2 linked regions of the Tribolium castaneum genome follow. The protein of the gene in region 1 purifies or fractionates together with the protein of each later gene. This does not show direct contact. Links are inferred from orthologs where the notes say so. Each region holds a gene or a part of one and is shown on either strand. Other genes may lie near its edges.

Region 1 (3,745 bases):
TGGGGGTGTGTTTATGTATAATGTGACGGTTCAAGTCGCCCTTGAATTTCGCCACGTAGAGACACATGGCGCACTGGTGCCACGTGATGGCCTCCGGGGGCGTATGCCTCCGCAAAACGTGCGTTTTGAGGTAATTTCTGTCTTTCGTTTTGAACTCGCATAAATGGCACGGGATTAACGAGGGGACCCCGGGGGGCTGGCGCGCGGGCCGCTGGACGTGGTGCAGCGTCCGGGGGATTCCCTCGGAGCAGTAGAGTTTTATCGTCGTCTCTCCCGACTTATCGACCAGTTTCATTAACATCAACACTGAGTTTTTATCGGTGACTTTACACCGACTTGAGTAAATGTGGTTCAAGAGAATCAGTCGGGAGTAAGTTTTGAAGTTGCAACTTTCACAAACGTAGCACACTGTCTCATTTTTTTGTCGATATATGGGGATTTGTGTCAAGGAATGTGTCTTCAGTTGGGCCAAAAAGGGGGTTAAGGTACGACACGAGAGGCATTTGTACGGTTCGAGGAGGCCGTCGATGCACTTGTACGGTTCCAAAACTCTACGTCTCTTGGAATTTGAGCTGAAAAAGGTGGATGTTGTGAAAGGGTGGCTTCGAGAACTGCGGAATCTTTCGGAGCCAAGGGGGTGCAAATCGATGTCCCCCATCTCACAGTTCATTAAGAACGTACACAATTCGGGTTAAAACCGCATTTTTTAATGTTTTATTTCAAGACATTGGTTAGGTTATGGAGCGTAGTTCGTATGCACTGACAGTCGGTGAAGGTGCACTAAAAATTGGGGTGGGACTGTGGAAATTACAGTCGACCAGACAACTGCTGCGCTTGCAGCTGGCACCATTTCTCAATCATTTAAATTAAAACTTAAGTATACATTCAATTTCTGCATTTTTATATGTCACTAATCTATCACTATAATATATCAAATAAAAAAAAGACATAATCTGTCAATATAAATTGCACAGCAAGAGTTGATCTAAAGACTTTTTGAATGCTTTGTTAAAATTTAAATCGTTGTTAAAAGTTAACAACACGAATGGGCCAGTCCAATTGTTTGAATGTGGTCACGTGACCAGTTAATCACGCATTTAATTGTAGATTAAATTAATGACGCTTCTATAAACCGGTACTAAAAGTGTTTTTACATTATTTTATTTATAAATTCGTTTGATGAATCATTAAAAACGTTTGTTTGATACGCTTTTATATTACCAATAAAAAAAATTAAATTGATGTTTGGGCGAGACCATGACCCCCGTTCCCCCCACCTGGAACCGCCCTTGGTGGACAAACACCCCTCGGGAAAGACTACCGCTAATTATTACAAATAATAAATTAATTAAATCAGTTAGCTCACGCCAAATGATCACAGCCTTCAAAAGGATTTCAAACGCTTGCAAATTATTTTTCCATAAAATTTAACTTCGACTATAAACTACTCTCACCGAAGGTCACACGAGTAGTTCTGTTGCACACCATAACCTTAAAAAACATGTGTTTGTAAATTTGTAATGCGGAAAAAATGGTACAAACTACGGATTTTTACAATACGTGCCTCTCAGATTTTAAGGAGATAACGCACAAACCTACAAATTTCCTCCAGTGAGTTATTTTATCAATTTGTGTAACAGTTGTGTAAATTTTTTGCAGGATTAGTGACCCTCTTTGTGAGAAAATCAAAACTAGCTTAAAAAAATGTTACGATTACGCGAAAGCGGAGGAAATCACCAGAACGGACGCTTTGCCACAATTAAATGTAAAAAATTTCGACTTGGAGCAAATTTGGCAACAAATCGAGTTACAAAACGAGAATTTAACCACCAAAAGTGTGACTTGTGTTAGCAGACTAATCGCTGGTAAAAGCCGACTTTTATTTAAAAATCTAGACAAGAGTGGAATTAGCGATGACGGAAGTGAAGTTGAAGAAAACGATGATGGAAGTGAAGTTGAGGAAAATTCGGAGCATTCTGACACCAGTGGTGATGAATCAAACGATTTAAACGACGTGGAGAGCTCTGATGATGAAGTCGAGACGACCGAAACGAGCAAACCCGTAAAACGGTCAATCGTCGACGATGATTTCTTCAAACTGGACGAAATGGAGCGTTTTCTTCGCGAAGAGGAGAAGAAAGAGGAAGGTGTTGATTCCGGCAACGATTCTGAATCTGAGGCAAGTGTTGATTTATTTGAGGCTGATTCCGATGACTCGGAAGATCACGCAAAGACGGCGAAATACAAAGACTTCTTCGTCCAAAATGAAGAAAAGCCGTCGACTTTCGAATTGCGCCAAAAGCGTCTGGCTAAGAAAATCGAAGAAATTGAAGAGGAAGCAATTCAGGACAAGACTTGGCAATTAAAGGGTGAAATAACGGCCGAGAAACGGCCCCAAAATTCGCTCCTTGAGGAGGTCGTGGAGTTTGATATGACGACAAGGCCGCCCCCTGTAATGACCGAACAAACCACAATGCAGTTGGAGGATATCATAAAAAGAAGAATCAAAGACAAAGTGTTTGATAGTGTGGAACGTAAGGCAAAGCCGGTGGAAAATTTGTTAGACTATAAGAAAAAAATCGTCTTGGACCAGGAAAAAAGCAAAGAGTCTTTGGCACAAATCTACGAGAAGGAGTTTCTTCAAGCGCAAGAACCCGAAGATAGGGAGAAAGAAGAACCAGAGCTCCACAAGGAAATTAACTCTTTGATGAGGAAATTGTTCACGAAATTGGACGCTTTGAGCAATTTCCACTTTACGCCAAAGCCTGCAGTTCCCGATTTGAAAATTATCAGTAATTTACCGGCGATTAGTGTGGAAGAAGTGGTGCCAACTGCGGTAAGTGATGCCACATTGTTGGCACCTGAAGAAATACAAAAGAAACCAAAAGGTGATCTCGTCGGAGTGAAAGAAAGGACAACGACTGATAAAAAAAGGGAACGGAGAAAAAAGAAATTGAAGCAAAAAATTCACGCCAAAAATAAGAAGGAACCAGTCAAGAAAGCAAAAAATGTTAATTTGGTGGGTTTTGATTGGGTTAAGGGCTTTTATTTTATTTCCTTGGTTGCAGATGGAGGACAAGGGAAAGAGGATAAAGTCGTCCAAGGAGTTTTTCAATCAGTTGCAAGAACAAGTCCAGGTTTCGCAAATTAAGAGAAAAGCGGCCCCTACTACCAATAAAAAGAGCGCGAAAAAATTAAAATTGTAAATGAATAAATCCTTACTGTAAATTGCGTGTTTTTCTCATTTACCTACAAATAACATAACTAACAATTTCAAGTGATAAGCGTTGATAAGCTTATCGTTGAATTTTGATGTGGTGAACATAACCTCAATTTTTCTCTTTAAAACCGTTGATAAAATGTGCTAACGCGGGTTTCGCCATGCATATGTCGTTTTGGTGGGACTACAAACTTACCGACTACCTCTTCCGGGGGCTGTCGTCACACTCAATCGCGGGCCTTGTCGGTATGTGTCTCAGCGTGGCCTCCATGTCTTTCGCTTTCGAGTTTCTCCGTTACCTGCAAGCCAAACAACGCCAGAAAGAACTGATCCTCAGGTCGGAGCAACTGAAAACGATTTGCCCCACTGAGACCTCGACACTGCTTGATGGGACTCAAGCGCCCCCCGGGGTCACAATCACGCCAATGCACAGGTTGTACTATTACAAATGTGAATAAAAACAAGACGTTTGTTTTAGAACGTTTTTATTCGTCTCGGAGATTGGGCTCTGGTTCTCTTTACAAA
Region 2 (2,858 bases), on another chromosome or scaffold:
TTGTAGTAAATGCAAAAAAGCTTGTATTTTTTTAACATTTTGAGTTCGTTTAGCGTTTGTGTCCTTTATTATTTTAATTATATAACGAATGAACTGGTTATTGAACTAGTAATTTTATACAGTTACTTGCTGTCTTTTCCGAGCTTGATTTTCGTACCTTTCGGGGCTTAATCCCGTTTCTAATAATGGTGACTATACGAGGCCGAACACAATCTGGAGGTATAATTCTTGGAGTGTGTGTAAGTGAGTTATTAAATTTCGTATTGGACAGTTTTTTTGATCGCAAAGTGTCGGTTTTCGTGTATTCGATTCGTTTGAACATCTCGCCTTTCCCACTACAGACGTACTCCTTACCGTCCTCTAAATCGTCCAAACTACAAACCTGGGCGAAAAAATTATTTATGGTGTCTTGATATCTGATCGGTTAATACTTTTTTGCCTTCCATTGAGTAGATGTTGCGCACACCGCTGGGGAGAGTAACATTCTTAGTCAGAATGTTCGTCAGTTCGGTCGTCAGACTGTCAAAAGACCTGTACCGTTCGGGGGCCACTGGTATGACAACTCCGTTAAAAAACTTATTCCCGTTATGGTAAAATCGGATTCTTTTCGCTTTCTGCGTCCGCGACGTCGACGAGGGCCTGCTTTTACTCAAATTTAGCTCTTCAATGCCGTTATCGATGATTTCAAAGTCGGACTGTATGCTGTTACAACTGGTCGAGGAGACGCTTCGGGAGCCGCTGATGTTGTTCTTCGACATTTTGCCAAGTGGGATCGTCACAAGGGGCGTGAAATCATCGTAACATCGTTGGTGTTTAATCAATGGGGCTGTTTTTAACCAAAACTACAAACTGGTACCGCCTATTTGCCAGCTGTCACCGAAACTACACCAAACATCAACTCCACAGATCCCCAAACCACTCTTTAGCGATTTTCAAGGTACACTTCACACACAACACAATCAAACTATAATCTCATTATGAAAAAATTAGATTTTGTGCTAAACTAACTGTTTTTACGGTTAAAAAGGTAATAACCTCTTTTCGGCAAGTGGGAGGGATGCTTGTTACGCATGGCAGCCAACCCCACGAAAATCACAGCTAAATTAAACGAAACGTAATTTCACAAACCGGACCTTATCACACGTTGGACACGGCCACAATCACAGATTGTTTAACAAACTGATTAAAAATAGCCCGCGTGAGTCAACAATTAATCAACAAATTAAATATTTTGGCCGGCGGAGTTGGCACACATGAGTGTCACCTTGACTGATCACAATTTTCAAAAATGGTCCGGAAATTAAAATTTCACGAACAAAAACTCCTGAAAAAAGTTGACTTCATATCGTGGGAAGTCGACAATAATTTGCACGAAGTGCGAGTGCTCAAAAAGTACCACATTCAGAAACGCGAGGATTATACAAAGTGAGGTTAGGTCGGTTTTGACATTTGTTTTATTTTATTTTGTAGTTACAACAAATTGGCCCGTAATATTAGAGAACTGGCCCGCAAAATTAAAGAAGTGGACGCTAAGGACCCCTTCCGGACTGAGAAAAGTGCCCAATTGTTGGAAAAACTGTAAGTTGGAACGTTGTCAAAAGTGAGGTTATGTTTTTTATTTTTAGGTATTTAATGGGGTTAATACCGACAAGGTGGGACTTAAGTCTGGCCGAGAAAGTGACAGCTTCGTGCTTTTGTCGGCGGCGACTGGCCGTTGTAATGGTTAGAAGTAAGTCGTTGTTATTGTTAGAATTTTGCCCCAAATTAATTTCTAGATAAAATGGCTGAAAATATTAAGGGGGCTACTAAATTAATTGAACAGGGGCATGTCAGGGTTGGGCCCGAGTTGGTCAAAGACCCAGCATTACTTGTAACTAGGACTTTGGAAGATTTTGTAACGTGGGTCGATAATTCCAAGATTAAACAACATGTGCTTGAATATAACGGAATGGTAAATTTTTTAAATAATGTAGAACGTGGTTTTTACCATTTTTTTTCCAGAGAGATGATTTCGTGTTGTGATAACATTTTCCTTATTAATTTTAAGTGTAGGTGGCAACACTGTCAACTAAATTTAAATTTGGTTACTCAGTTGGTTTGGTAAAACGAAACACCAAGTCCTTATAAATTTTTATTGTTTTTCCAAAACATACAGGAATTGTAAATCATTATGCCATACATGAGTGTATCAAAAATAAACAAAACCCAATTCTAAATCTTGAAAACTACAATTAAGATGATTACCAACTGTTGATACATTTAAGCAGAAGTTGTTCCAAAAGGTAGACTTTTCAATGTCTTTCTAATAATAATTCAACAAAGAAAGTGAAACAAACATTCGTTATTCGTGTTTTTCTCGTCATCTCTAATTTGTCAACATTCGTTTCCTGCACCAAAGATAACACTAGTTATTCCGCATACGCTATGCAATACTTGTGAAGCCTCAAAATTTGTACAACACACAAAATATCCAAATAAGCGCTTTTTCCGCCATTTATGGTTACTTTTTTGACCTAGCTGAGTGGCGTCTCCAACGGTAATTTTACTAAATGATTTGTCAACACTCCATAGTATACACACCAAGTCCTTGTATAGAGGTGGTTCCAAATCTGGTGGCGAACTGTCAGTGACATAAAAGTCTCTTGCACTCACTTGGTTAAGATAATGAAATACATAGACGTGCATTTTTTTCACTAAAATTTACCCAGTTGTTATTTTAACATTAATAAATTTTGAGAACGAAGATACATAAAAAAATTACTATTACTGTTAATAATCTGATCATTATTCTTCATCTTACGGATCTCATTATATTTTTTTTAAGACTATCAGTGGATTTGAAAATCATTTTATTACGC

The links.
Region 2: the proteins of U3 small nucleolar ribonucleoprotein protein MPP10 (region 1) and U3 small nucleolar ribonucleoprotein protein IMP3 purify together in Homo sapiens (affinity purification with mass spectrometry; 4 studies listed by BioGRID and IntAct, with this or other methods). This does not show direct contact. The link is inferred for Tribolium castaneum from reciprocal best matches to the Homo sapiens genes MPHOSPH10 and IMP3.

Annotation. Positions count from the first base shown.
Region 1 is NC_087399.1:8,513,042-8,516,786, forward strand, and holds U3 small nucleolar ribonucleoprotein protein MPP10, read left to right. Parts: upstream 1-1,452; 5' UTR 1,453-1,531; coding exon 1,532-1,611; intron 1,612-1,659; coding exon 1,660-3,019; intron 3,020-3,068; coding exon 3,069-3,206; 3' UTR 3,207-3,228; downstream 3,229-3,745. Other genes in the region: zinc finger protein 142, read right to left, coding at 1-658; protein SLC31A2, read left to right, coding at 3,382-3,653, 3,699-3,745. UniProt on the Homo sapiens protein: Component of the 60-80S U3 small nucleolar ribonucleoprotein (U3 snoRNP). Required for the early cleavages during pre-18S ribosomal RNA processing. Part of the small subunit (SSU) processome, first precursor of the small eukaryotic ribosomal subunit.
Region 2 is NC_087400.1:10,480,887-10,483,744, forward strand, and holds U3 small nucleolar ribonucleoprotein protein IMP3, read left to right. Parts: upstream 1-1,220; 5' UTR 1,221-1,288; coding exon 1,289-1,425; intron 1,426-1,470; coding exon 1,471-1,578; intron 1,579-1,625; coding exon 1,626-1,729; intron 1,730-1,775; coding exon 1,776-1,951; intron 1,952-2,001; coding exon 2,002-2,022; 3' UTR 2,023-2,335; downstream 2,336-2,858. Other genes in the region: serine/threonine-protein kinase GL21140, read right to left, coding at 158-382, 432-758. UniProt on the Homo sapiens protein: Component of the 60-80S U3 small nucleolar ribonucleoprotein (U3 snoRNP). Required for the early cleavages during pre-18S ribosomal RNA processing. Part of the small subunit (SSU) processome, first precursor of the small eukaryotic ribosomal subunit.